Caenorhabditis elegans: one gene and its partners. The protein of the gene in region 1 purifies or fractionates together with the protein of each later gene. This does not show direct contact. Each region holds a gene or a part of one and is shown on either strand. Other genes may lie near its edges. The genes, in order: spp-5, Y47G6A.22, asp-14 and nep-24.

Region 1 (5,921 bases):
CGGTTGAATCTACATAGCATTAGTCAATTCATCGAAATTTGACACTAATATATTGCTCTCCAGTTTGCTTTTGAGAAACGTTTATGTTTTCCTTGTACCAAAATCAAAACTTGAACATTCGATACTATTTTGAGGAAAAATGTTTTGGAGGTATGGGGAATTGAACCCCAGCCCTCTCCCATGCTAAGGGAGCGCTCTACCACTGAGCTATACCCCCTGACAAACGTTGGCATTTGATTAGCACTCATGTCACGGCCGCTAATTTATATTTTCCCACTGATAACGATTGTGTCCATTCACGAAAGGTGATCATTGGTTGACTAGAAATCAAACCTTTTCATTTGCCCAGCCACTCATAGTAATTATAATAATAACAAAACTATGTCTGGAAAAGGAAATGGTGTTTCATTCACCTACTCGAATCACGTTTCCGATTTTTTTTTTAATTTGAAGTTCATATACGTTAGTCTGCAATCACGTTGGAAACGATTTTGAGCATTTCGTAATACTTCATTAGCTTTTGAACGATTCTTTTGAAATTTTTGAAAGCAGCATTACATTAATAAAAAATTCAATTTTAAATTCGAAATAAAATTTCACTTCTATCCTCAGGACCCACTTTATCTTCATGAATCATGTTTAGCATATCTTTCCGAATGATCAGTCAATCCACGAAGCGTGAACAAACATCAGATACAAAATGAGTGAAGTGGCAGAATTAATAATGACGCAGAGTTATTCAGGATGTTTTTTTCAGCGTTTTGCTCATTTTAATTTTGACTACTAAGGGTCGAAACATTAATATTTCAAAACAAGGTCATTAAAATTATATGTAAGTATCATGCTGTAATGTTTTATATTGTAATTTTTCCACCTGCTTGGTTTAAAAATTCTTTAGGGTTAGAACAACTTTACTTACTTTTTAGTTTTCACTATCCTAACTTAATTCTTCTAAATTTAAAAAAAACAAGCACTGTGAAGTTTCAGAACAAAAACCTTACTCGTCTTGTTGATATTCAATGCTTAAGAATTAATTAAAAACGTTCAAAAACCAATGCGATAACTCTCATTCACAAGTACTAATCCCTTTTCATGCAAAACTCATTCATCTTTGCTCATTCTTCACATCAGTCATTAACATGAACTTTAAAAAGTCTGAATTTTGTTCTATCTAGTATTTTTTTTTTAATGTCAATGTATTCACATCTAACATCAGCTCCAATTGCAGTTTCGTTCCAGCACGTGATTTTCAGAGATGCAGATCCGGATTAGAAACATAAAAAACGCTTCTTAAACTGCCCCAGCGATATTGCTCTCTTGAACTATTAGTTTATTAGTCGCTCAGTGTGTGTGAAAATCAAACCCCATTCATCAATTTTCGTTCCGACTTTATGATGCATAAAAGTCACTTTTATAAAACGCGACTTTGGCAAAGATCTCCATGGTTTCATTTATATGTAAACTTCTGCTCTGTGCCTTTTTTGTTGTTTTTTTTTTAATTTTTGATCTGTGCAATGCAAAAAAGTAAGTTCTCTTTTTACCATCTCAAATTTCAGTCAAAATGCCAATGCCACTTCGGTTTCTTGAATCCTCACGGCCAAGCGTCAGCACTGCACCAATTCCAGTAGACAATATTACCGACCCACATGCCAGACGAACAGCAGAACTCGTAATTTTCGAATCAGAATTATTTGAACTTTAAAAACAGTTTTTCAGAGAAACGCAGAACTGGAAAAGCTTCAAAAAGCGAAGGAGCTCGAGCAACGAACTAGGGTTGAATGTCAACAGGCTCTTGACCAATACGATGTACTGAAAAAAATCCCAACATTGACGGAACAAGAACGGAAAGAAAACGAGACGCTCACCAAAAAGAAAATAGCTAAAGCCATTATTGCTGCACAAAAAGCTTCTCAAGCTGTGATGGATGCACGTGTAATTATGGGAGCCAAAGGCGAGGAACTGACAAAGTGAAAATAATTGATTTGTCTGTTAAAATTTCTAAATTATTGAAATTTTATAATTAATAGGTCTCAATCTGATGCAGTCTTTCCATATGAACATTGTTGCATTGTCTTAATTCTGACATGGTCTTGGTACATTGTCTGTCCAACATTTCAAAGCAAAATATCATTATTTGGGAAAATCTTTAAAAGCATTTATATGTTGTTAAAATGACCCAATATCAAAACGCAAAACGTTAGAAAAAAATTATCTATGAGCAGTTAGTTCGATGATATTGGTTGAAAACTCAGTTAAATATGACTATACTTTTGTAAGTCGGCCAAAACATGTTTTTTTGAATTTTCGCCAATTTTTAACCATGTTTTAAATAGTTGTCATTGACCAATATAGAAATTTTAAACCTGCTGCATCGCTTCCATTTTTTTTTCAAAAAATTTACTTAAAAAAGGCCAGTTACCAAAACTTCGATTGAAAATTTTGAATTCCCTATTCACAATGGGAGATCAGAAGCAAAGACAAGGAAATGAAAAATTATATCAACACTTTTCCCATAGGGAGTGAATTAATTTTGACTCTTAAAGCTAGACAATGTGCGAATATTTTGAATGTTACCACATGATAAGTTTTTTGTTAGAGTTATGCGATATTGAGTCATAAATCGGTTATAATATCATACAAAGGATCTTAGGTTTCTAGGGAAGTTAATAGAAACAGTCTATGCGGGAAAATCTGAAACGGAATGAATAACCTCACGTTCAAAGATATAGTTGCAAAAAAATATTAAATGTTGTTTCAAACCGCTCCGAATACAAATGCCACAAGTCCTTTCATAATTTTCAGAAACAATAAAGTTTTATCTAAAACTAATCCATTGCCTCGAACCTCTCGGTAAATCTAGTGGACACTATTTTGTTAAACAACTTTTACTTACTATGAATCTAAACTTATTTGATGACTATTTTTGCAGTCTTACAAAATTGAATAAGTTGAACAACATTATTTTTCCAGATGAACATCAGAGCGGAATAAAACACTGAAACGTTGTGGAAACTAAATACTACCGCCGAAACAGTAATATATTTCTGGAAAAAAATAAACACCTACTTCTCTTACTTTGTGGTATTTTTACTCGAAAACAGTTATATATTCAAAATATAGTTTCATTAATTTTTTAAATTCATGTTTATGTCGTGGCGTGGCAATAATACTAAATGTTTATATTAACTTGAAAGTTCGCAAAAAATTGATCATAAACGAGTTTATATTTGTACATTACCTACTCGTTCTATCCAAAGAAAGTTTAAATATATTTACAAATAACAACGTAAGTTGACGTTATTCTAAATGTCATACATCTGGATCGTTAAAAAACAGTTATCATGCATTGCAACATAGTATAAATGTTTAGTACATTCCTGCAAGCCGGACAATTTTCCTATTTATCACGAGTTTAATGCATATGTTGTCGATCTGTAACCTTTTTTCTATTCCATACATTATGCTCTCCGCTTTCGACGCTGCTTCTTATCAAATGGTCAAGTAATCAAAATTGGGAAGTTTTTGCTATAAATGCGCCCCTATCACCGCGTGCTCTTTCAATTCTTCCTTGCGTTTTGATGCTTCAGTGTTTCATTTCAATTTATTTTATTACAGAATGAAGACTCTTCTTGTACTAGCCGTTTTGGTCGCCGTTGCCTCAGGACTTGCCATCCCAGAAAATAGAAGCGCATTGAGCTGTCAAATGTGTGAGTTGGTTGTCAAGAAATACGAAGGATCCGCCGATAAGGATGCCAATGTCATCAAGAAGGTAATAAATCCGTGCTAGAAAAAAACCAACAACTCTTGAATATTCTAGGATTTCGATGCTGAATGCAAGAAGCTTTTCCACACCATCCCATTCGGAACCAGAGAATGCGATCATTACGTCAACAGCAAGGTAGACCCAATCATTCACGAGCTGGAAGGAGGAACCGCTCCAAAGGATGTGTGCACCAAGCTTAACGAATGCCCATAAACGGATCATTGAAATTTTTACTTGTTTGAAACTTTTACCAATAAATTTTCGATTTTTAAAAGTTTCAACCAGAATTTTGATAAATATAGAATAATTGTGACCAGAAATGTATTGGACCTTATTTTTTAGAAAGGGCCTCAAGTCTAATAACGAATCATAATAGTACTGATAAGGACTGTAATCCAAAAAGCTTCAATCCAGGAGAGTGGGGAACAATTGAAAAAATGTGTATCATTATGATTTTAGAGTTTGGAACTTGCCCGGTCTGCACACCATGTACACGTGACTGTTATTGCTTGAAACGCTGAAAGCTCGTTGCAAGCTTTTCTTGAGTTTCTAGAATTATCTTGAAGCTTGAAAGCTTTTCGCGCACAATTATTGATTGAACAGCGAAAAATGAGTACACTTTTTTCAAAACCTTTGATACTTTTTTGACACATTAGGAGTTTGGTTTGATAAGTTTTCTTTGTGAAATTGTCCTGCCCTGGACACCTAATTTTTACAGATAACAACATACAATTTCAGGGAAGTGCCGCGTCTTGATGATTTGCAATATATAATACCTGTAACTTTTTCACAATTATCGAAACTGTGATCACGTGAAATCACATAATATTCCGTTTATCTACGGATACAACAGAAAATTAAGTTCAATAGATCAAAAAGTCATCGAATTCCTTCAAAAAGACAGAGGGAGTCTGAAAAAAATTTGTTTAATGTAGGAAGTCGTATGCATAATACATTTGTTCACGTAATTGAGCAGAAAATAATTTATGTTTTTTTCCGTAATTCAAAACTAGTCACAAATCACACGGGTTTACACTAACGTGAATTTTTAATTTTTGTTTTATAGCAAATTATGTGATTTGTTACAAAGTTGAAAACTCCGAAATTAAATTTAAAATATTTTTCTGAAAAGCGGGATGAAAGGAGAAATAGGAAAACGGTATACGTACTTGCAGTAAATGTAAATGGGAACTAAAAATGTACCCGCATTGCTTCTGACGTACTCCGTTCTATAAACTGTTTTCCTCCGGTTGTACCGGCAATTGTTCCGGCAATCAAACTAAAATCGACAACGATCAAAAACATAATTCCCATTTGAATACGCTGCTTATCAGAAAACGAGATAATCAGGCTTGAGTGCCGATATAAAATAACCTGCGTCACACGTGCCAGATAGATAATTTAGATTATTTTCAATTCCTAATTTCATTCAAGCAGTTTCATTTTGCAGTATGAAGACTCTTCTTGTGCTAGCCGTTTTGGTTTTCGTAGCCACCGCCGTCGTGCTTCCACACCAAAGAAATTCCCTGGGATGTCAAATGTGCGAGCTTGCCGTCAAGAAGTACGACGGCTCCGTTGACAAGGATGTAAATGGTATCAAGAAGGTCAGGATTTTATTATATACTTTTTGCTACTAGAATGACATCATCATGTAGTGTTTCTCAGATAAATTAGCAACTATATAGAATAGGAAGTTTTTTCCAGGACTTTGACACCGAGTGCAAGAAACTGTTCCACTCTATTCCATTTGCCCCACAAGAATGTGAACACTATGTAAACACCAAGCTTGACCCCATTATCAAGGAGCTCGAAAGCGGAACTGCTCCAAAGGATGTGTGCACAAAGCTCCACGAATGCCCATAAACATTGACGTGTTATAATTGAACCGGAGAACTTATTTTTAAACAATTTAATAAATCAGTTTTAGAGAGGTTTTTGGCTGATAGCGCCAGCCAACAGCCGACTGACAAATGTTCGTTGCTTTTCGGCTCGTGAACATTTTTAACAAACTAACAAATTTTGAAGAAATTTGCTAGATTTGCCTAACTTTATTGGCTGGCTGTACTAGTCGACACCCGAAAAATCAGTCAGCCGCACACGCCTGATTGACACTTATTCTAACATGAAATTTATTGGACAATGAAAATGAAAACGCGAG
Region 2 (8,430 bases), on another chromosome or scaffold:
CGCGCAAGGAATAATGGGCGGAGTTGAAAATGCAACTCCGCCGCACTGTTTTTCGTCTATTTTTCCGCATTTTTAAAAATCAAACAATCAATTTATCTTAATTTGTCAGGTTGAATAATCGAAATCTTGCTTTAGAATTACTTTAATTATTTGATCTTGCTGTGAATATTTTAAAAAAACAGTTAAAATTTTAATTAAAATAGAATCGTGCGGCGGAGTTGCGCTTCCGACTCCGCCCATTACTTCTTGCGTGTCGTTAGAATAGACTTACTGCCGCATATGTAGCTTCATCCTGCCCAGATGCTCGATGAATGTTGGTTACAATGACTCCTGGGCTGAAATTTATTTTAATTATTCTCAATTTTTGGGCTCTTAATATGAAAATATTTAAATCTCACCAAACAGCATTAACACGAACTCCATTCGGAGCCATTTCCAGAGCCAAACATTTTGTGAATTGATCTACGGCCGATTTGGACATACAGTAATATGTGACCCCAGCGAACTGAAAATTGCGAATTCGAAATATATTTTTTTTTAATTTCCAAAAGAAAAATCATACAGGGCACGGTCCATTAATACTGCTGACATTGACAACAGTTCCTTTTGTTGTAATAATATGTGGAAGAGCTGCACGTGTCAGGCGGATCAAACTACGAACATTCACATTCATTAGCTCATCGTAGACTTCAATTCCAGAATCGAGAACTGGTCCGGCACGCAGAATCCCGGCCGAATTGATCTGAAATTTAGAATATTTTAAGGGTAGAATGGGAAATTTCTCGAAAAAAAAACTATGGATCCTGGAAAAGTGAAGTTTTTTATTTTTCAAGTTTAAATTTTGAATAGTATTGACTTCATAAAATTGAAAAAAAACCTATTGTAGTTCCGCAATTGTTCCTGGGATACGAACTTAAAGGCGCACGCAATTATCTAGTTGGGTCTCACCGCGCAAAAACATTTTTCGTGGCAAGACCCAACCGAATAAATCCGTGATCCTCTATGTACGCGTTTCTGAAAATTTTGTAAATAATAAATGGATAAACTCTAAATTTCCGAAAAACTTTTCTCTCGATAGTTTCAAATTGTTTCGAACTGAATATCCTCACCAATGAGTCAATTCTTCCGAATTTTTGTACAGTTGCATCCACAATTGCTTTGGGCGCCTCATCAGAGCTCAGCTCCACTGCAGTTATCAGAATCTGGAATGAAAATCGATTTTTTAATTGATGTCGCTATTTTTTCCACCTAAAAACGTTCAATCCCCTTTTTTTGCAAAATTTTGCGATTTTTGGTCTCGAAACGACATAATAAAATTCATAGCTACAGTACCTGCAAGTGTTTGTAATTTTTAATGATTTTTAGTATACTTCTTGATATTCGATGAGTTTTAATATTTTTTTTTGTATGTGTCAAGACCATGGCGGCGGTTTTTTTTAATTAAAAAAATAATTTTTTTTGTTTTTTCGACAAAAAAACGGTGTTTCCAAAAATTACAAACGAGGAAAAAAAATCGAAATTTTTTTGTGATAACTGCTATCATGAGAACACAAAATTCTGAGAATGCGTAATGCACAACATAATTGACGCGCAAAATATCAAAACTACAGTAATTCTTTAAATGACTACTGTAGCGCTTGTGTTGATTTACGACACCAGAGTTACAGTAGTAATTTGAAGGATTACTGTAGTTTTCGCTACGAGATATTTTGCGCGTCAAATATGTTGCGCAATACGCAATCTCAGAATTCTGTGTTCCCGTAATACTGTACTTTCCGTCACAGTTCCTAAAATATAAAACTCACATCATCAGCCGAAATTGCACCCTCTGAAATACATAGTGCTGCGACTTCCTTCAAAGAATCCGTATTTCTTCCGGTCAGCGAGAGTTGGTACTTTTTTTTCGCGAACAGAAGAGCCGTGCCTTTTCCGATTCCCGAACTTGCTCCGGTGATGATGGCGACTGGCATTTTCGGATACTCTGAATAAATTCAAAACTGAATCAAAAAAAAATCGATTTTTTTTCAAAAAAAAAAAAAATTAAGCAAGGAAAAAACCACTATAAAGGATTCAATAAAAACACAATTAAAAAAAATACATGTATCTCTCTATTTATTACATGATAAAAGTTCAAAACAATCTCAATATGAGACAAAAAAGCTAATATTTATCTCGGATGCATGATTCCGCGGCCTCCGTCAACACGAAGAAGTTCTCCAGTAGTGAATGAACTTTTCTCAGAGGCGAGGAAATAGATTGCCTCAGCAACTTCATTGGCATCACCGGGACGGCCGAGTGCGTGTGTCGTTTTACTACGTTCCAAGAACTGAAAGAAATGATGATATTTATTTGTCAAGGTCAGTGCAGCAGGTTTTATACCGCAGAATATGTTGTCTCGTCTTGACCAGATGTACGATGCAGGTTGGTCACGGTGACCCCTGGGCTGAAATTTTTGGAGAAATGACAAATTTATATGGGTTTATTAAGGGAACACAATATTTTGAGAATGCGTATTGCGCATCATATGTGACGCGCAAAATATCAAAACTACAGTAATTCTTTAAATGACTACTGTTGCACTTGTGCCGATTTACGGGTTTTTTTATTTATCAAAAGATTATTGAAAATGAGAAAATAATACGAAGAAACGAAGAAAATAAATTAATTTCCAAAATCGAGCCCGTAAATCGACACAAGCAGTACAGTAGTCAGTTAAAGGATTACTGTAGTTTTGATATTTTGCGCGTCAAATATGTTGCGTAAGACGAATTCCCAAAATTTTGTGTTCCCGTAATACGTGTGTTGTTAGCGTTTCATTCGACAAAAAATGAGAAAGTTAGCGATTTTTGCACCAAAATACGGTAACCGGTCTCGAAGCGATCTTTTTTTTTTCAATTCAAAAGTGCGTGCGCCTTTAAAGGAGTACTGTAGTGTACTGTAGTTACTTACTCCTAGTTTTTGCGAGATTTTTAAAGCAATTTTCCATAGTTTAGCTCCTGTCTTTTAAAAAATTCGTTTTTATTCAAAAAATATAAAAATGCATCAAAATTTGAACAAAAACAAGAAAACCTATGAAAATTCGGCAAAAAGTTAGAATTTTCAGGAAATTTTCCTAGTTTTTTTTTGTGATTTCGTTCTTACTCATATTTTCCGATAATTTTTCGATTTTTCGAAAAAAAAAAAGCCAAAAATATTTTCGATTTCAAAAATAAATATTTTTCCGATTTTTCGCAAAATATCTTGAAATTTTGACAATTTTTCTTCTTTTTGGAAGAAATGTATATGTTTTCTTATTTTTCGAATATTTCTTTAAAAAACCTAAAAACCGAAAAAATCGTAATTACAGTACTCCTTAAAGAGAATCGATCGCTTCGAGACCTGGCACCGTAGTTTTTTGGCAAAAATCGCGAGAAAACTCACCAAACAGCATTAACACGAACTCCATTCGGAGCCATTTCGAGAGCCAAACATTTTGTGAATTGATCTACGGCCGACTTGGACATACAGTAATAGGTTACATTTGGGAACTGAAAATTGCGAATTTGAAAATTATTTTCAACAAAAAAATAACATCATACAGGGCACGGTCCATTAATACTGCTGACATTGACAACAGTTCCTTTTGTTGTAATAATATGTGGAAGAGCTGCACGTGTCAGGCGGATCAAACTACGAACATTCACATTCATTAGCTCATCGTAGACTTCAATTCCAGAATCGAGAACTGGTCCGGCACGCAGAATCCCGGCCGAATTGATCTGAAATTTAGAATATTTTAAGGGTTTAATAATTCAAGAATCGGTTGGAGAGTTTTTTTAAATGTTTTCGTTATCCCCATATTTTCTTTTTACAGGTTGGTGCAATTTTTCTCGAAAATAAAAATGAGAAAACTCTTTAGGCAGAAATTTGGAAAATTCGAAAAAAAAAGTATCTAAAAAAGCGCGCAAACTTTTTTCTCAAAAAATTTTAAAAAATAAAAATTCTAAGATCTCTGAATCTTAATGTGAAATGCGACAAAAATAATTTTAATTTTAAAAAAAATAATTAAATTTGGGTGCAAAACTGAGCTACAGTACTCGCATATACTACAGAATTTTTTCAAATTTTCCTTCGATTTTTATATATAAATTTTAATTTTTCAAACAGTTTTTTATCGAAAAGTATAAAATTCGATGAAAATTCCGCAGAAACAAAAGAAAATACAGTACTCTTTAAAGGCGCGCACCTTTTTACAAGTTGCAAAAATTAGTCGTGGTGAGACCAGATACCGTATTTGTAACGCAATAGTAGTCGCAAAACTTCACATTTGGATAATTTTCTGTGCATTTTTTTACAAAATTCGCAATTATTACGTTTTCAAAAAGAATTTTGAACTAAAATTTTTTATAACGGGAACACAAAATCCTGAAAATGCGTAATGCAACACATTTGACGCGCATAATATCTCGTAGCGAAGACTACCGTAATTCTTTAAATGACTACTGTAGCGATTGTGTCGATTTACGGGCTTTATTATCTTGATTATGAGAATCAAGCCCGTAAATCGACACAAGAGCTACAGTAGTCATTAAAAGAATTACTGTAGTTTTCGCTGCGAGATATTTTGCGCGTCAAATATGTTGTGCAGTACGAATTCTCAGAATTTTATTTATTTTTATGTTCCCGTAATAGTTCTAAATTTTATTATAACTTTCCAAAAATAACCCCCCACCAATGTGTCAATTCGTCCAAACTTTTGCACAGTCGCATCCACAATAGTCTTCGGAGCTTCTTCTGAAGCCAACTCAACAGCGGTCACCAGTACATCATTCTTATCACTTCCAGCACTGACAATTTGCCCGGCGAGCTCATTGAGAGCCGCCACATTCCGTCCGGTAAGTGAGAGCTTGTAGTTGTTCCGGGCGAGAAGAAGAGCCGCCGCACGTCCAATACCAGAACTTGCACCTGGAAAAGAGGGGAGAGGAATGGAATTTCAAGTATTTAGAGTCATTATTACCTGTGACAATTGCGACGGGCATGGTTGACCTGCAAAATCAAAATTAAAATTAAAATTGAAAATTGAAAATTGAAAAAAAAATCTTTGAAACAAATAATAAACGGCATCCTAAAAAAACGAGACCCAGAGAAAAATACAAATTTTGTTTTCTCCGCTCCTGATAACACATCACACATCAGGAGTTCAACTTTTCCAAATTTTTTTGCGCGTAAACTGTGGTGCATTAGGTACATGACTCAATGCATCACATTTGACGCGCAAACTTTTTTATTTCAAAATCCATGTCAAACTGTGGGTTACTGTAGTTGATATTTGAAAAAATTGCTATTTTTGTGCCAAAGCTACGGTGCCTGGTCTCGTCGCGATAAATGTATGTTAAATGTAAAAAGATGTGCGCCTTCAAAGAGTACTGTGTCAATGAAAATTCCAAAACGAGAAATTACAGTGCTCTTTAAAGGAGCACACCTTTTCGTATTTAACAAATATTTGTCGTGTCGAGATATGGAGAAAAAAATCGTAAAATTTTGATGCAGAAAAATGCGATTTTTGAAATCGAGGTGCAAGCGCGCTCCACGGTCAAATGGAAAAGCTCCGCCCCCAAACGTTGGGTCTCGTTAGGTATTACCGCTTTTTTGCCGATTTCACCTGTTCTCAAGCATTTTTTCGTGTTTTTTCAAGATTTTTATATCGAAATTATGTTTTTAAAATTGCATTTAAAAGGGAAAACCGTTATTTAATTTGATTTTCCTTAATTTCGACACATAAAACTAGTAAAATCGGCAAAAAACCATAAAAATTCCCGGTTGTCTCGCCAATACCTGACGAGACCCAACGTTTGGGGGCGGATCCTTTTCAGTTGTCCGTGTCAGTCTGGAAACCTATATTGGCTACTATCTCGAAAACCATCACAAAATCGATTTTGCGATGCATATAAGAAATGACCGCAATGAATATACCTATCTTTATTTGTGATGAATTTTCGATTTTGTGCTTCCTGCCCAAGTTATGCACGTTTGTTCGGTGGAGTGCGTTTGCACCCATCTAGCAACTGAACCACCGTGAAAAGCGCATTTTTCTACGTCTCAATAATATTTCCCTTTGTTCAGTCTTTTTTTCCCGTTTCAATTCAAAAACTAATCAATCATGATGAAGGAAGTTTTGTGTGTGGGGCGGGGTGAGCGTTCGTCGCCGAAAAAAAAACAGCAGTAACGATATTTAAGGCTGAGAATTAGGGTTTGAGTACTGATAGATAGGTCAGCGGCGAAATGTTCAAGATCATTGTTCTACTGGCTACGATTCTGATCGTCACTGTCTATGGTGGGTTTTTTGAGATTATTGATTTTTCAACAAAAAAAAATTCGAATAATGTTTAATCACCCAATTCATTAAAAAAAAGAAGTGTAATGGGATTAATGAAAAAATAGGATTTTTTATAAATAGTTTTTAAAATTTGACGAATTTTTCTGCTTTTCGCCAGATTATTTGAAAAGTGAATTTTCGTAAGGGGAGTCAGAATGTCCTATTTGGGTTTTGATCTTCAAAAAATGCGGGAGAAGAGACGCAGACTTCTCATCTTATTTCGCCTGGTTAAGAGCCTACTGACGTCACAATTTTTCCGGAAAAATATTCCCGCATTTTTTGTTTATCAAACCGCAATGAGACAGCCTGACACCACGTGTTTTCAAAAATATCAATTTTGTACAGGGAATTTGTTTATTTCCCCAAAAATTAAATTTTTTTTCGAATTTGCGCGTCAAACATGGTGCACTGTCGTAGTTCACTGACCCAATGCATCAAATTTTACGCGCAAATGCGGCCCTAAATGAATAATTTGAATAATTTCCAGGTGGCTGCCCCGGCATTTCCAGCATCTACCTCCCCCGCCGAGTCAATTGTCCCCTCTGCGATTTCGCTCCATTTTCTCAAGCTGTAACCGGCTCCGGCAATCAATATTCGATAAAATGCCCCGCTGGCTCTGATGTTTGGTACTACAATGAACAGGGACGTGAATTCGTGACCCCAATGAGTAAAGTTGGATCAAAAGGAAGCATCAAGTGTGATGGATCGAAATGGAAGATCAGTGTGCCCGGACAAAGTCAGACACTTTCTGCGTTTGCGTGTGGATCCTCGTAATAAGATATAAATAATCCAAAAATTGTTAGGAAACTTATCAAATGAAACTAATAAATACTAGTACAAATGAATTATTATTCACAGAAAAAAATAAATAAAAATAGACAAATCACAGAAGCTCATTGGAAATTATTTGGTACATTTAAATATTTGTGGAAGCAGAAATTGGAGGAAAAAAATAAATAATTAAAAAAAACCGTAAATCAGGCAATAGAAAATATTAAGAAGCTGCTGGCCAATAATTGTTGACTAGAAAATTAGAAAATACATGAGAAAAAAAAAATCAATTAATTGTGTTTCGGTCTAAACGAGGCGTCGGAAATATCTGTAATAATATCGGGAATATCGATTGAAACGGAAACTTCTTCGCTCGAACGACGGCTGTCTCGTCGTTTTGGTGTCGGTGCCATCGAGTCCGTTCGACTCTGAAAATTTTGGTTTTTTGTTGAAATTTGGAGGCAGATACTGTTTTACTACTTGATCTTTTACTACGTATCTCTTTTACTACAAGATCTCTTTTACTACGAATTCCGCATTTAGATCTTTTACTACAATTGGCTCTTTTACTACGTGATCTCTTTTACTACCATTTGACCACATAGATCTTTTACTACGGAAAATACTTTTTTACTACCTCATCTTTTACTACGTGGATCTTTCACTACGGTTTCATATTTCGATGTTTTGCTACAGTTTGTATCTTTTGCTACGGTAGACATTTTTACTACAATGGCAGGGATTGTACTTTTCACTATGTTTCGTATCTTTTACTACTAATTTTTTACTACGAATTAAAAATTAATGTCTATAGTATTTTATATTCTAGATATAAACAAATGTATGAATAGTTTTTTTTTAATACATAGGTCATAATTGTAGATGGAGTTAATGGGGTTAGACTGTTGGGTTACTGTAGTGGTATTGTGGAAATAACAGTTTTCAGATTATATAGTGTTTTTTTTTAATTTCTAGAAATTTATTCACTATGAAATGAGCAGAACTTATTATGGCCATTTGGATCTAGAAATTAAAAAAAAACACGATATGATCTCTTGCTCTCTTGTAAAACTTTTGTAAAAATTCCAGAAACATTTAAAAAGTCCTCTATAAATGTTTTAAAACTCAGAAGATTTTCTGAAAATGAAAATGTAGGTATCCTATCTCGGTCGTCAATTTATTTGTCATAGTTTTCAACTACAAAGTTGTTGAATATGGTATGATCTACGATTTGTCAGTTGAACATTTTTTTACCAAATTGTTTTCTCGCGGAGTTATCGGTACTTGGAGTCAATACGTTTTAT
Region 3 (7,999 bases), 880 kb from region 1:
ATAGGTATTTTATAAAATCGCTTTGAAGAAGGTCTAATGCATAATCAATAACTCCTGCATTAACTTGAGCCAGAAAGCACAGAAAAAGTATTATTCGCATGGTGAAAAATGTACCAAATTGCTGCTCTCATATGTATTGGGTTATTGTCACTTTTTCATTGTGATTTACAATGCTGGCACAAGAAGCTTTTGAAATGAACAGTATATAATTAATAATTGTGAATTCAACTGGCTCTTTGTGATATTTCAATATCACACAGAAAAAATCATATTGTATTTTATATACCATTCAGTTTATTTATTATATACAGAAGTTCATATTACAGTCATTGTTCCCGACATCAAACATTAGTTCCATTCTGCCTTGTCCGTTATAACGCAACTATTGAAACTGTCAAAAATTATGTGTTCTTAGAATTTTCAATTATATCAATGTGAATATTGATGTTCATAAATTCAAACTTCTTTTTACTTTACATATTATTTTAGATCAAGAAGAGAGTAACCTTCACAACAGTATTTTAAACTCAATATTGCGATTTTTCACTTCTTCGGAATACCTACAGTATGTTTTTTGAAATCACTAAAAATTTGTTAATTTCAGTTGAAAACATTGTATCTGACACTCAATATTTTATATCAGATGAAAACATCATATTTGACGCAAAATTTTTATTTCATTTAAAAACATCATATCTGACGCGCAATTTGTTTTGTTTAAGTGGAAAACATCATATTTGGCGAGCAATGTTTCATATCAGTTAAAACATCACGGTATTTGTAAAGTTTTAACACGTAAAGCTGAAATAAAGTACTAGCATGTTTTGGACACTTTTTTAAAATATTGCAACAATAAACTAATTGTTTTAAAGCAAGTGTTTTCAAATTGTTTCCTTTTGCTGCATTGGCTCTATTTTCACACATTCCGAAATGTCGACGATGACAAAGTGCATATTCAAATTTTAGAGAAGCAGTTAAAAAGTATATTTTGCAAATCGTATTTGTTCCGTGAAATTTATCATTATTCGGTGTATATTCAATATGTGTTGAAATGCTCGATTATTCATTATTTAACATCTCATATAGTGTCAACAACGAAGAGAATTAGTTGCAATTGTGATCAGGATTGAGCATATTATACAAATTTACAATTTTGTTCACGATTGTTGCGACTTCGTGCCGATTTTTTTTGTTGCATCCTTGAGAAGATTCCATGTGTTGATCTAAGCAGGTGACAATTGCGTCTTGATTTTGACGGAGAACGTCCAACTCTTTTAGAGTATTTCTATTTGTTAATCCATAATTGTTTGAGCAAGAAACGTATTGGTGATATAGCTCGTCCTGAACAATCATTTTACATACACCAAAAAAACCATTTTAAAAGTACCTCTTTCCAACAGTCACTCGGACTCATTTCTGTGGAAAAGCTATGAACGATTTCAGTGATTTTAGAGGTAATTTCATGAATTTTTATTTGTGCACTACACACATTTTCATTGTTTTTTTGTACATAATGACATCCATCTCACTACATTATTAAGTGAAAGCAGCTCTTCATGAAGAGTTGGTTGTCTTGTTGAGTTGTTTTGATAGTTTTGGATAATCGCCAAACTTTTCTGAAATATTTTACTGTCACCAACTTATTTTCTGGGAAACTTACTGAAAATGAGCTGCCGCAATTTTGGAATTGAGTTTGCTCCTTTACGTCTTTACATTCGTAATTTAGTTGGTCTTTTATAGCAGCCATGTTCACAATGTCGGTTGCTATGTCAACCACTCTGGCATTAGCTTGAGCTAAAAAAACCGCAACAAGTATAATTAGCATGGTGAAGATTTTAATGAATTGTTGCAAGACAGGTTCTTATATAGTTATGTGTTTCAAGCAGTATTTATGAGACAGTTTGAGTCACAATACAAAACAGACAATGTAACAAATAAATCGTTTTGAATATGTCGGGTGATGTTTGATGATCTTTTTTATTAAATGGAAAATGTCATTTTGTATTTTATGACAACCATACAGTAATTGTTAGATGTGAATGTTTACATTAAAAAATGATCATTCGATACAATGAGTCAAACTTCGTCAGTCATTATCCAATAAGCTTTAGAACAGAATAATGATATGTTTTTACTAACATTTCTACTGATAATTTTTAAATAGAAAAATTTTTTAGTCCCTTTTGTTTGTTTGACGTTATTTGGACCGACCGGTTGCACATGCAACAGCGAATGCTTTAACTAGCCTACTATGTTTAACTTCTTCCAACCGCCCTATGTAGAATCTGCTTCTAACTACATAGTAGGCAAGTTAGTTCGTTTCAACATTCAGAAAATGATCAGTTTTGGAAAGTTTAAGATACTTTCTTCGAAATCTTTGTATATTTGAGAATATAAAACGTTCTGAAAGTTTGGGAAAGTTTTTGAAACACTCTAGAACTTTGTAGAACATTACTATGTGTAGATCAGAAATACTATCAAATATGTTCTTAAACCCATTCCCAACTATCCCAATAGTCTTACAATGTTTTCAGAAATTTCTCAAATGAATCTGAATATGAACCGCATAACGGCACTTTTTAAATTTAATGATTTATTTTTATTCCACTTTCAAATATTAACACTAATCTTGGAGAAGCGCTGGAGTGAACCCGACTCTTTGCATGATTGGATCGAAATATGTGCAACGTCCACGATACAATGGAAGACCGAGAATGATTCTGAAAAATTTTTGCATGATTCAATCCATCTTCTCAATCATTCCTTACCTATCAGTGGTTGGAATAATTTGGAGTCTACATGTTCCGAAGAAGCTAATAACAAGATCTCTTTCCGTAATTGAGACTGTTGTACCTGAAAATAGAGCAATTATGTAAAACAAGTGGAAGGTACACTGAAATCGACATACCAGAAACAAATCCAAAAGTGAGGGTGATCTTAGTGTTACATGGAACAATTGTTGGGTAGATAGCATTCATAACGTTTGTGCTGATGCCAAGGGAGTCAAACACCTGGCTAATGTAAGTTTTTGGAAGTCCAATTTGGGCGGTGGTGGTGTCAAGGTAAGTCTGAAATTTATATTTGTTGATACATAAGAGATGCAATAAACTCACTTGAATGTACTTGTTGTTGGAGTTGGTGGCGGATGATCCTACAACTTTGAAGGAAGACATCGTGAGTTGGTATGCATATGCAGAAGCCAATGGGACGTATGTTGGGTTTGGAGCACAGTGCACTGGATCAAATCCTCCGTAGTAAATAACTCCGTGGGTTCCGAGATCATCAGTTTGGTTGAAGTGCTCGAGCCAGATGGAGTAGAATGTGCCCGAAATGTCTCCAGCGTTAACACCTTGAACGAATGGTGAGTTTCCACCGATTTGCGATGAGGCTGTGAATCCCAATCCCAAAATTCCATCAGCACCCAATCCATCCATCAAAAGTCCGAGGTCGGTAGCTTGCATAAACTTCACGCCTGGAATGGTGATCAAATCAGTTTTGCGGTCTCCGATCTGGAAAAAAATTGTTAGGACTTAAAAAACAAATTGAAAGTATTACCACAACAGTGTCTTTTGCATCAAATCCTTGGAAAGTTCCAAGATTATTCTTGTACGTGTACTTATTTCCATATGCATAGTAAGACGACGACTTTGCTTGGTTGAATCTTCTCTTGTTGTAGCAATTATTTGCGGTCTCTGAAACATTTTCCAGTTTGTATCTTTTTCACTCTTATCAGTAGTGTGGAGTTTTCAAAATTAGGAATGTTATGTGCACTAAGTGATAGTCTTTGACCGATAATCAACATAAAAAACGATTTTAGTGCCGATATAATAGGGCAAATTGTCAGCAAAAGCTGACAAAAACTGTCATCATTTCGTGATTATGTTCGAGATGTTTTATACATTTAAAAGTCGTAAAACTATCAAATTGCAATCAAGAAAGCGATTGGTTGAAACTCACTGCAACTCATATCTGGAATAACAATGTCAGCGGTCGAAGTGTCAATGACAACAGTGAAAAGTTGTCCTGGTGTTCCCATGGTCAAGTTAGCAACGAAGAAGGTTGAGGTTTGCTCCAGAGTTTGTCCTCCTGGAATTAAACTTCAGTTTTGAAAATCTAAGGAACTTGTGTATTATATACCAAAAGTAATTTTCAGTACAAAACAATTCACTAGTGGAATGTAATAGATTTAGAAAACCATTATTCCTAACAAGGGAAGGCTCTGAACTCGTTATCGGACTTCGTTACGCCACTATATACATTCGATAGAGAATAGTTACAGATGATCACTCCAAAAATTTAGCTGCTTCAGAGCAGGTTTGATCAAGTTACGACATTTTGAAAGTGCCAAAATACCCCTTTTTAAAAATTCCAAAAAAATCAAAAAAAAAAAGTTTTTTTCTAAAAGTTGATATAAAATGTTTTCAAATAGTTGGAAATGATGGAAAAATCATACCACACAAGTTTCAGTTCATAATTCTCAAAACAACCAATATATAATTGGAAATCAACCGCAACATTGTGTTTGTAAGTTATAAGCTTTATTCTAAGTTAAATACATTCTACTCAATGTCGTAAAGGAAATAATGTTTGTTCATTCACTGTACATTTTATGTGGCTTCGGGATATATATATACGTGCTCTTAAAACAACTTACCGCTCTCCACTATTATTACTCCCAGTTACGTGTCTATCCCTATTTTGAATAAAATATAACGTTAATGTACCATTAAATGTTCATGTTCAATCAAACGTGATCGAAATTTTTATACGCTTCGGAAAATAATTCAAAAAAAAAATCAAAAATAATGCTTAAATGTTCATTTTAAATTTTGTAAAGGCTTCCATTTACAAACACCAAATTTCACTTTATCTGAAACAAATCTGTAAATTCTCATACTCACCTTTGGTAATGTTGGTAACTGCAGCATGAACTTTGAAAGGAATCACAAAAGCTGAGGTCGAGGCCACAAAGGCCAAAAGCAAGATTGTCTTGATCATGATTGAACTGAGAATGATTTCCAAGCAACCAGCTCTCCTATTTATTCGCTCATGCTTTGAACTGATAACATAGAAACCAAAAAATCGTGACAAACCCCTATCATTTTCGACACTGCACACTTCCACTTTCATCACTTTTCGTGGGCTTCAGAACTTTATTCGACGAGATACTACTAACAAACGAGAGAATGAAACAAAAAGCAAAACGATTTAATTACGATGATTTTAGATATCGGCTGGCAGGACTTTTCCGCGGCACTCTCCGAAACCAATTCTGACTCCATTCTTTTCACAAACTCCAGAAAGGTTGACCTCATCTCCGTCCTTTAAGAACTTTCGGATTTCTGAGCCAACTGGAACTTCTTTGGCTCCGCGCCACGAAAGCTCGAGCATGGATCCATATGCACCTTCTTCTGGTCCAGATACAGTTCCTGATCCCAAAAGATCTCCAGCGCGGAGGTTGCATCCATTGACGGTGTGGTGAGCAAGTTGTTGTTTTAGAGTCCAATACAAATGCTAGAAATTACAGTATTGTAGTTGAGAAAACCTTAACGAGCGTTTATGATCCAATTTACAGTGAACAGTGTAGATAATATCGTTTCTACTAAACTTGAACATACCTTGAAGTTAGTTTTACAGACAATATGGTCCACAGCATCTCCTTCTGGACGGATACTGACGGCCAAATTGATGTCAAGGGTAAATGGGTCATCGTGATGGAGATATGCTGGTGGAACTGGATCTTGTACTGGATTCTCAACAAAGTATGGACGAAGAGCTTCAATTGAGACGACCCATGGAGAAACAGTTGTGGCAAAGGATTTAGCAAGGAATGGGCCGAGTGGAACGTATTCCCAAGCTTGGATATCGCGAGCTGGAAAAGTTTTTTTTCGGATGAGTATGGAGCAAACTTGAAAATAACTACTGTTGAATTTTCTTGTCACCAAAATGTCGAGTTTAAATGTTTTTGTTTGATATTTAATTAACATCGTTACTCACCACTCCAGTCGTTCATGAGCACAACTCCAAAGATACGATCCTCAGCCTTCTCGATTGGAACACGAGTTCCCAATTCATTTTCTGGACCTCCCACAAAGAACGCCATCTCGAGCTCAAAGTCCATAAGCTTTGATGGACCAAACGATGGAACCTCAGCTGAAAGCGGACACATTTGCATTATTGGTGCAAATCTAAATCTTACCATCTGGGGCCTTAGTTTGTCCAACTGGTCTTTTCAAGTCTGTTCCAGATACAACGATTGATGAAGCTCTTCCGTGGTATCCGACCGGAAGCCACTTCCAGTTTGGCATCAGAGCATTTTCCTTTCCACGGAACATGATTCCGACGTTGGTGGCGTGATGGATGGAGGAGTAGAAATCGGTGTAATCTCCGATTTGAGCTGGAAGGTGCATTGTAGCATCGGATTGAGCGACAAGAGCCCGGCTTCTGTAAATAAAAACATAAGAATATTATTACAAAGTTTCTTGGTTGTTTTAAACAGAGTTATATGTAAGTTGTGCGCAAAACGTACAAAGCTTCTAATTACAGTATGAGATTTCAATTTATAAATCAAAAATTAATATAAAAATGTAGGTTTTTCTCGATTTTGAAATAGATTTTTTTAAAAATAATGCCTACAAGTCGCCAACAAAGTTTAACGATATATTTAAAGTCAAATGAAGTATTTCAAAAACTTTGACGGGTTTCCAGGCGTTCTCAATAAAATAATTTTTTTCAGATTGACCGAACATTTTCACATACTTCTATATACATTTCAACTTGCCAACTTGCTGCACAGTATTGATTCAACTTTGCAATTATAAACTAACGATAAAAATTAAAACTTGTGAAATAGTTGTTTAGATTTGGTTAGTAGATTATCAGACACACTTTGTACTACTTTTTAACTTTTTCAAATTTGTTTTGCCAACTTATTCACCTCAAATGAGCGTTATCCCTAAGAACAGCACAATCCTCTGAGAGCAGTTGTTGGATTCTTGCACGAGCTTCCAACCAGGCTGGACGTGGCAGTGCCATGAACGCGTTCAATGTGCTCTGCTTGAAAACATCCTGATGTGCCTTCAATTGAGGTCCGTCAAAAAGATTGGCAATTTCTGCCAAGTTGAGGATTTGATCTCCAATTGCAACTCCAATGTGGCGGGAAGACTGAAAATATTTAGTTTAATTTTGCTTTAGAAATAATTATTTATACACTTACGTCAGCCTTTGTTGAGAAAACACCATACGGTAAGTTTTGAATTGGGAAATCCGAGTTTTGAGGAACAGAAACGAAGGATTTCATGATTTAGCCTGCAAAGCAATACAAGTTTTGAAAAATGGAGTTGAGTAGACAGCAGTCTGTTATGTCTCCGAAACTGTACACGCATGCGGCGTTGAAACAGAAAATAGCATACAGGTTGGAGAGGGTGCTAGTGACAAATACAAAAAGGAGTCGTACACGCATAGGCCAAGGTCGATACACGACTAAACGACCACCAATAAAAACAAAACGATAACCAAAAAAAATGACTGCACACAGACAGTGACAATGACAGATGTGCACCACTGAAACCGCTATATAAGGTCTCACAAATCTAATTGAAAAGATAAGATGATGATAGTGACGTCAATTGGATAAAACAATAGAGTATATCAGATAAGTTTTGACAAGAGAGAGAAAACTACATTGGATGCAAATTGAATTGCGAAACAGTCACGTGATGATTTTTTCTTGAATGTTTGGATGGCATTATTCTATAGTTGTTTGTTTGCATTGGCAATGATACTGTTTCATGAATAAAAAGCAAGTAGGAGTATGACGATTTTAAAGAGTGGAGAACTAGTGTTTTTTAGAGTTGCTTATGTTTATAATATAGAAATCTCAATTCCATGAAGATAAATTGCTACTAAAACGCTTTTTATATCAGAAGAAAAACGGTCTCTAGCAATTTGTATCTTAGAAAACTCTTACCACCATTTCGAGTAGAGAAAACGTTTCACA
Region 4 (8,094 bases), on another chromosome or scaffold:
TGTTCCAAATATCTTTCAAATACCGTGACCAATTGTTAATCAGCGCCGAGGAACACCGCAGGAACTACTCAAAGCTTGAGCCGACAATTTTAAATATTTTCGAGACAAATGGACTTGTGCCAGATCGGATACAACTTTTGAAAGATTTGGAGGGTTTTGCATCTCTTGAAGCTTTATTGAAAAATGTGACATTTTAATTTGAATACTTTACAATCGAAACTAAATTTTCAGCATTACTACTTGGACAATATGGATAAAATGAAGCCCGCCGTGCTTGATGATCTGGTGCCAAGTGTGGACTTTATGGGGCTTGTCAAAGCAATGATCAGCCCGGGAAAGGAGCACTTGATGCCGAAGATTGAGCTCAAGACTAGTGTACTGAATCAGACATTGTTCAACGATGAGAATATGAATGTGAGTTGGGTGGAATGGGCTTGTGCTCAAAGCTCACAGCGTTACAAGAAAATTCTTTATCTAGATTTGTAGAAATAATAATTTTCAGCTGGAAGCAATCATCCTTGACACACCCAAGCGAACACTGGCAAATTATTTGATCTTCAACTTTATTGACAGTTCATTGGACCATCTGGTTTTCGAAACAACTTCTCAAAAAGGAAACACTTGTGAAGATGTAAGTTGGGCCCAATTTATGTCGGCTGCTTCACAATATTCCTTTTTTGAAATGCAGGAGTTGTCACATGTTTCATGAATTTTGAAGCGCCCGACGTCTACCGGGATCCGCTAAAACACAGCTAGTATTGCAGCCGGGGTGGGCGTCGGCTGCTGCACAATCTCAAAAGGACTGCACAGCCGCCGACACCTCACGGGTTCCGCGCCTACGAGGTAGACACAGAGGGGTGCGGTACCCGTGAGATGTCGGCGGATGATACTGGTTGGGGTTGCGATTTTAGCATTTTCTCCGTGAATTTCCGGGAAAAAAAGGGCTCAGTCTTATGGATTTGTACGTACGTAAATGCCACGATGTACGAAACTCCTTTTTTTTCGAAGTCATCGCATACCTTCCCCCTAATGTCGCCAGGAGTTGTCTCATGTTTCATGAATTTAGAAGCGCCCGACGTCTGCCGGGATCCGCTACAGCACAGCTAGTATTGCAGCCCGGTAGGCGTCGGCTGCTGCACAACCTCAAACGACTCGAACGAAAGACAACACGTACATTTGAAATTAGAAAAACTGCAAAACAAATCCCAAAAATTAGGTCACACCGTTTTTGGGTCGTTTTCTGGGTTGGCAACTAAATCGGGACCCCAAGCAAATAACAGCCACCGACACCTCACGGGTTCAGCGCCTACCTACATCGTGATAATCTTAGTGGGATGCGGTACCCGTGAGATGTCGGCGGATAATATTGGCTGTACAAAAAATCCTATATTTTTTTAGAAAGTCATCACATACCTTCCTCGTGCATCTCTCCGAGTCTTCATTCGCAATTACGTCGACAAAGAGAACCGAGACCTGATCACCCAGCTGGCCGAAAAAACTCGAATCGCTCTTCACACTTTGGTTCAGAACTCCACGTGGCTAAAGGCAGAATCCAAACAACTTGCTCTAGACAAAATTAATGCGATGGGAAAGATGATTGGGTATCCGGACTTTTTCGAGCCACCGGGCACTTTGGATGGCATGTTTAAAAATGTAAGTAGTGAAAACTTATGCCTAATTTACTTAATTTTTTTAGCTAAATCTCGACTCATCTGACACGTACTACACAGCTCTCAACAAGCTCGAAAGGTATTTTGTTGAACAAAAAATGGATTATTTCGCAGAAGAGACACCTCTGGATCCAGATTTACGCGTTTTTGAAATGAATGCCTACTACTATATTCCCGGAAATCAGCTGAGTAAGTACTATTGGCTTTTAACCTAATTTTCAAAGAATTTCCAGACTTCCTTGCTCCATTCTTTGATGATCCAATGTTTGACTCGACCTACCCCGATTATGTGAACATTGCCATGTCTGGGAACATAATTGGTCATGAAATGGGTCACGCATTTGGTCCACACGCAATTTTGAGAACTGTCAGAGGACGGGAAGTGTGGATGAAACCGGAAGAACTTGCAGAATACGAGAGCAGGGCGCAGTGCCTGGCAAATCAGTACAGTGAATATGATGATCCAGATTTTGGACGAGTTGTAAGTGAAACTAGGTGATCTTGAAAAATGATTTTTCAACGAGAAATTCAGTTTGACGGCGGCAAAGTGATCGATGAGCTTGTGGCGGATAATATCGGACGGGAGGTTTCTTGGAAAATGTTTAAAAGTCTTGACTTGACAAATGCGACAAGGATTATTGGATTTGAAGACTATGACATTGACCAACTGTATTTCCGTGTTGGAGCCCTGGTGAGTCCATGTCGACCAATCAGCACGCGCCCTCATCGCTGATTGGTCGACACTTTGGTACAGTGTTGTCTAGCCATTCAACAGCCGACATAAAGCGGGACCATTAGATGTCGGGTGCTTTGAAACTAATATTAGCAGTTTTTTCTGAAAGTATCTATTTCAGACACACTGCACCCCTCATGCGATGCGTGATTTGAAAGGGTCTATCGAAAGTTCTCATCCTCGGAAAGCATTCCGTGTGAATGGAGTCTATGCGAATCTTCCAGAGTTTGCCAGAGCATTCAACTGCCCGACGGGATCTCCAATGAATCCGAGAAAGAAGTGTGATATGTTCTGAACTTGTGTTTTAGGTTTTTACTAGAAATGAACTTGATTCCTCCCTGATTTCTTGTTTTAATTTATAGTAACATTCTCATCATTTTGTTCAGAAAAGAGATACCATTTAATGAATCAGCTCAGATTTCTGATCAAATACGAATGTTGATCGGTGACAACAGGTGGTTTGTCTTTTGTTTGACATGTTTGAATTGAATCATTGATACGTTACTGTTCACCAAAACATTTATTTTTTGACAAACTTTTTTTCTGTTTCATGTATTCTATTTCAGTTTGTGTCGTTTTTATATTCTTACTGCTTGTAACATATAATTTCAGATAATGAGTCTACAAAAAGCCAAGGAAAAGCTGCCAGGATTTATGCTTCTTCTTCTTCTCACCTGTACTGCTCCACTCGCCATCGGAGCAACAACTCCTGCTACCCGAAATGTCTGTAATACTCCAGCATGCATCACTCTTGCTCACATGTTGGTAAGTTCCTAGCACTCTGGTTTCCAACTATATCAAACTTCCAGCACAACTACCACGACCCATCAGTTGATCCGTGTGACAACTTCCACCAATTCGCTTGCGGGAGAGAGCATGAGCACGAAACGGAAGATATTTACACGAAAAAAACAAAAACCATCAATAATATAATGAAAAGTGAGCTTTAGCTTTTATTCTTTTCTGTAATTTAGTTCCTGTTTCAGGATTTCTAAAAAAGAACGAGACGTCAAGATCGAAGTCGGAGAATGCTATGAGAACCTTGTATAAAGCGTGTAAAACCTTGGAGAAAGTAAGTTTTTTTTCAAAATTTTAAAAGCAAAATTTAATTTTCAGAATTCCACAGCCAGTCGTAACAAAGCTCTTCAGGACATTTTCCAAGATATTCAGAGCATTGGGGCTTGGCCAGTGGTGGATGATAAGTGGGATGAGTCGAAATTCGATCTGAATGATTTCCTTGTTAATCTAGTGAGGTTGGGAAGAAAAAATTTTGGACTATTTCAAATGGCACGGTATGTAAACGTTCGAAATTTTGCTATAGGCCCAGAAGCAGCTTGGCGTCACAACGTAGATCTCGGAAAGGTTTCGGATACAATTTTATACATTTTGCACCTTAAAAATTTGAATTTTCAGACAATTTCCGAGATTCTGAAAGCTAATTCTGTTCAGACGAACAATAAGAAGCTTCTAGACGATTTGGCAGAGTATGTTAATTTGGAGAAGGCGTTAAGCCAGCACAAGTTCAACACAGTTCAACCAGGATATATTTTTTCTGAGCGATCAGATTTTGTGTCAAGTGTGAATTTTTCAAGGCTCGTCTTGGAAATGATGAGCCCCGACAAAAGAACTTTATTCCCGGAAGTGTATCAGATTATGTACCTAACCAACACCTCGCTGTTTTTTGGAAAAAATAATAATGTAAGCATTATATTTTGATAGGGCTTCCATGTAGGCGCCAAAGCGCCTGCCTCTGCCTGCCGCGCCTCTTGTATTGTGCGGCGCGAAACCCAAAAAGTGTCGGCCGCTGCAAAAGAGCCACATTTAGCACTATGTGGTGTCTTTCATTTCTTGTCATTATGAGGCGAGAGGTCGGCGGGAGGCGGGCCGGCGTCAGGCCCCCGTCCTCCGCCTGCCTCGCGCGCAGAACCCGAGAGCCACTTTTCACACTTTATTGTGTCTTTCCTATCTCGCTAAAATAAGGTGAGAGGCAGGCGTCAGACCCTGAAACCGCGCCTGCCTCCAAAGCACTATATTTCGACTCTCCGGAAGATATTCTCCTTATAGCTTGAAACAATCATTCGGAACACTTCTAAAAGAGCATTGGCCAACTACTTGATCTTCAAATTCATCGATACGTCTATCGCAGACCTGACATATGGTTCCCCATCGGCATTTTGCGAACAGGTAGAGTACTATGATTTTTTTTTCTTTCGAAAAATTTATTTAGAAAGTCATCAACTTTCTCCCTCGTGCTGCTCTTCGTGCATTCTATCGCAACTTTATAAGTAAGGAGAATCGGAAGAAAATCACCAAATTGACTGAAGCCACCCAAGTTCAACTGTTGAAGATCATCGGCGCAACTGATTGGATGAGCATTAAATCGAAGAAAATCGCGATGGATAGAGTCAGCAGTATGAATATGGTAATTGGATATCCAGACTATTTTGATCCACCGGGAAAACTGGATGGACTATTCGAACATGTGAGTAGACCTCCTAGAAATCAGGGCTTGATAATTCAATTTTAGCTCAATCTGTCTTCATCTGACACTTATTACACGGTTGTCAGAAAAATCAATCGATTCATGCGTGAACAAGAGATGGACTATTATACCGGAGAAGTGCCGTACTATCCATTGTTCCCGGGACTTATGACTAATGCCATGTATAACGCGAATGATAATAATCTAAGTAAACTTGCAAGATAATTAATTATCATAATTATATATTTGCAGTGATCTTTGCCCCATTCTTCGATGATCCATTTTTCGACTCTAGTTTCCCGGACTATGCAAACATCGCATTCACTTCGAACACACTTGCTCATGAAATGGGACACACTTTCAGCCCGCATTTGATGGATATAATGACTGGTACAACAGAAGTTTGGCTAACACCGAAGGAGACAGAGGAGTACGAAAAGAGGGTGAAATGCCTGGAAGATCAATATACTGAGTATGACGATCCGGAGTACGGGAGAATTGCAAAAAGCTGTATAGTTTGAAAAAATACTCAATTTTATTAAACATTCAGTATAATGGATCGATGGTGATCGATGAGATAGTAGCAGATCGGATTGCAATTGATGTTAATTGGAGGGATTTCAAGAGTTCGGATCGATCGAAGGATCAGAAGATCATTGGATTCGAGGACTACAATCTGGACCAACTGTTCTTCCGTATTTCAGCTATGGTTAGTGAAGTGCTAGTGAGAAAATAAATAAAAATATGTCATATTTCAGAGCTTCTGTACGCCGGCTCCACTTTCGCTAGAAGTGTCTAAGGCTTCCAACCATCCGGCGTTTGCCTTCCGTGTCAATGGAGTTTTTCAGAACGTGCCAGAATTTGCGAAGACATTCAACTGCCCGCTTGGATTGCCAATGAATCCGGTGAAGAAGTGTAAAATGCTCTGATATTTTGTTTTTTTTTTTTTTGGAATAAAATATGCATTGTTAACATGAATTTTAGTTTTGAGAAGAGTAGTATAAGAATATTCAAACCAGGGTTGTGCGGCAAATTTGGCGAATTTGGCGAATTTGCCGTTTGCCAAGCTCGGCAAATTTCAAAAAAGTAGATTTGCCGAATTTGCCGCTCAAATCAAAAAATTTGACAATACTATCTATTTTGACCAAAACTATTGAATTTTTCCCCAAAAATTTTGTAAAATGACACAAAATTGAGTTATTTTGACGTTGAAGCAGCCAGACTACACGGAACTTATTTTGAAACCAGATGTGTGTTAAGAATTCAGTAGTTTTGGTGCTCCAAAAACATCAAATTTTTCGGAGTTTGTTAAGCACGGCAAATTTGCCGAATTTGCCGAATTCGCCGAGCTCGGCATGTTTTGAGATTTTCCGCGCACCCCTGGTACAAGGTGTCATCCTAGTCCCAATCAGGGCTGTTGCAAAAAAAATTTTCGACCAAAACAAACAACTAATTTTTTGTTTGAAATTTGGACCAAAAAACAAAAAAATAGAATTTTTCAAAAAACCAAAAAAAAAAAACAAAAAAAAACACAAAAAAAATTGAATTTTGATTTCAAACGGGACAAAACGGAAATTTTTCTTGAAATATTTGTTCCCAAAAACCAAAAAAAAAAAACAAAAAAAAAACAAAAACCAAAAAAAAAATCAACAGCCCCGGTCCCGATGTCTCAGTGCAAAGCAAAAAAAACTGTAGGTCGTGACAGATATATTAGGGTTGTATAATTGTGTGCTCCTCCCTCGTTTTGTGTGTCAATGCCTTGCCGCTGGGCGGCAGAGCTATGTGCCAAGTTACAGACATAGATCGCACTATAGATAAACATATGTATAGTGCAATCTATATATGTAACTTGGCACATAGAAATCTACAGTCCCTCCCCCTTTCTCTATGTTATTGTACCAATGCCTTGTTGCTGAGCGGCAATGCGAAACAAAAAGACTGTACGTTGCCATCTACCAAGTTACAGATATATTAGGGTGCTCCTCCCTCGTTTTGCGTGCCAATGCCTAGCCGATAAGCGGCAGAATAAATAGTCAGTCTAATCAAGACGAATCAAATCGACTGCCCTACCAGCGATGATTGCCTCCTCCAAGATGCTCCCATGCGTCGCCATGCTCGTCCTCATCTGCGGTTTGTTCAATGGATCCAGTACAGTCAAAGGAACATGTTCCTCTTTTCAGCTCACAGTGCGTTCTCCTCCGTAATTGTTGTGAAGCGTGGAGAAGCTTAACCGGAAGACAAGAAACTGGAACTTCTGGATTCTGTCAACAATGTTCGTAGTCAAATCTCGAAGGAGCTTTCAATTTCCAATATGAATAAGCTGGTGAGTGATTTACGAAACTATGCCAGCAAATGTATAATCTTTAGGAGTACAGTATGGAACTTGAGAACAAATTGAAGAAAGAGATGACTTGTGAGAAATTTACCGCTTTTGTGGAACTACTTCGCAAACATCTGGAAAACGAGCCAAAGGAGGTGCAAGATCTCGCAGTACGTTTATTCAGTAAATTCAAATTATTAGTTGGGCTTTTTAGGCCATTAGTCTTTTCGGAGCAATTGTGGAATACTACCTTAACCCTCTGGACACTCACATCGCTTTCGTTTCTCTAACTTGCGAAGGAGTTGAAGTCAACATGCCAACCCCTGAAACTTCATTGGAGTAAGTTTTTGTGACGATGGTTGAGAAAAATGTGAAATCTTGTTCAGCAAAGCCGCCGATCAATCTGACTTCAAGCACGGCCAACCAGGATCTGCTTGTCCATCTGGAAGAACTGCAACATCTGCCGGTTTGTGTGCTCGTTCGGACTAGATCGAATCCGCTTGACTTCCTTGCTTTTGCCTTGAACTTCAATTTGTGTTTATAGATTTTTGAATGAAGTGTGAAAATTAGATTTGTTCTTGCTTTTTTATAAAACTTTTACAATCAATTTGAATCCCTGGATGCCAGTTATAAAAGTTTATACTGTTTCATCTGGCAGACGTTTTTTTGAAAATCATGTGCATAGGTTCCTAAAACGCAGAAGCGGAAGAGCACATTGAATTAGAAAAAGAGTTGATCTGGAACTTTAGATGCTCGTAGAATTGCTCTAGTAGGGGGTTTCTGAAGAGTTGAAAGACTAACAATAAGAAATAGAAAAAATTACTAGAAAATAGGAAAATTAGAGGAATTGAAAATTTGGAAACCTCAAAAGTACTGTCCCTAATTCAAA

The links.
Region 2: the proteins of spp-5 (region 1) and Y47G6A.22 fractionate together in Caenorhabditis elegans (co-fractionation; one large-scale study listed by BioGRID). This does not show direct contact.
Region 3: the proteins of spp-5 (region 1) and asp-14 fractionate together in Caenorhabditis elegans (co-fractionation; one large-scale study listed by BioGRID). This does not show direct contact.
Region 4: the proteins of spp-5 (region 1) and nep-24 fractionate together in Caenorhabditis elegans (co-fractionation; one large-scale study listed by BioGRID). This does not show direct contact.

What each region holds. Positions count from the first base shown.
Region 1 is NC_003284.9:7,318,049-7,323,969, reverse strand, and holds spp-5 (Saposin B-type domain-containing protein), read left to right. Parts: upstream 1-3,615; 5' UTR 3,616-3,616; coding exon 3,617-3,769; intron 3,770-3,817; coding exon 3,818-3,976; 3' UTR 3,977-4,033; downstream 4,034-5,921. Other genes in the region: T08A9.13 (uncharacterized protein), read left to right, coding at 1,562-1,669, 1,717-1,971; spp-4 (Saposin B-type domain-containing protein), read left to right, coding at 5,215-5,367, 5,468-5,626.
Region 2 is NC_003279.8:3,557,827-3,566,256, forward strand, and holds Y47G6A.22 (DeHydrogenases, Short chain), read right to left. Parts: upstream 5,026-8,430; 5' UTR 5,019-5,025; coding exon 4,997-5,018; intron 4,945-4,996; coding exon 4,712-4,944; intron 3,759-4,711; coding exon 3,579-3,758; intron 3,528-3,578; coding exon 3,421-3,527; intron 2,444-3,420; coding exon 2,380-2,443; intron 2,327-2,379; coding exon 2,168-2,326; 3' UTR 2,108-2,167; downstream 1-2,107. Other genes in the region: Y47G6A.21 (DeHydrogenases, Short chain), read right to left, coding at 272-335, 399-505, 563-742, 1,110-1,202, 1,806-1,970; Y47G6A.33 (C6 domain-containing protein), read left to right, coding at 6,262-6,313, 6,843-7,129; lpd-3 (Bridge-like lipid transfer protein family member 1 C-terminal domain-containing protein), read right to left, coding at 7,417-7,554.
Region 3 is NC_003284.9:6,441,609-6,449,607, forward strand, and holds asp-14 (Peptidase A1 domain-containing protein), read right to left. Parts: upstream 5,057-7,999; 5' UTR 4,999-5,056; coding exon 4,902-4,998; intron 4,087-4,901; coding exon 3,958-4,086; intron 3,693-3,957; coding exon 3,556-3,692; intron 3,510-3,555; coding exon 3,114-3,509; intron 3,069-3,113; coding exon 2,909-3,068; intron 2,854-2,908; coding exon 2,769-2,853; intron 2,721-2,768; coding exon 2,624-2,720; 3' UTR 2,577-2,623; downstream 1-2,576. Other genes in the region: K10C2.7 (uncharacterized protein), read right to left, coding at 1,494-1,616, 1,661-1,825; fah-1 (Fumarylacetoacetase), read right to left, coding at 5,224-5,514, 5,619-5,872, 5,998-6,153, 6,200-6,444, 6,938-7,164, 7,217-7,300.
Region 4 is NC_003282.8:16,921,374-16,929,467, forward strand, and holds nep-24 (NEPrilysin metallopeptidase family), read left to right. Parts: upstream 1-3,018; coding exon 3,019-3,168; intron 3,169-3,212; coding exon 3,213-3,342; intron 3,343-3,389; coding exon 3,390-3,475; intron 3,476-3,519; coding exon 3,520-3,765; intron 3,766-3,816; coding exon 3,817-4,101; intron 4,102-4,467; coding exon 4,468-4,587; intron 4,588-4,630; coding exon 4,631-4,885; intron 4,886-4,930; coding exon 4,931-5,093; intron 5,094-5,137; coding exon 5,138-5,406; 3' UTR 5,407-5,594; intron 5,595-5,643; 3' UTR 5,644-5,684; downstream 5,685-8,094. Other genes in the region: nep-23 (NEPrilysin metallopeptidase family), read left to right, coding at 1-185, 232-414, 503-631, 1,399-1,653, 1,697-1,859, 1,904-2,151, 2,203-2,361, 2,525-2,698.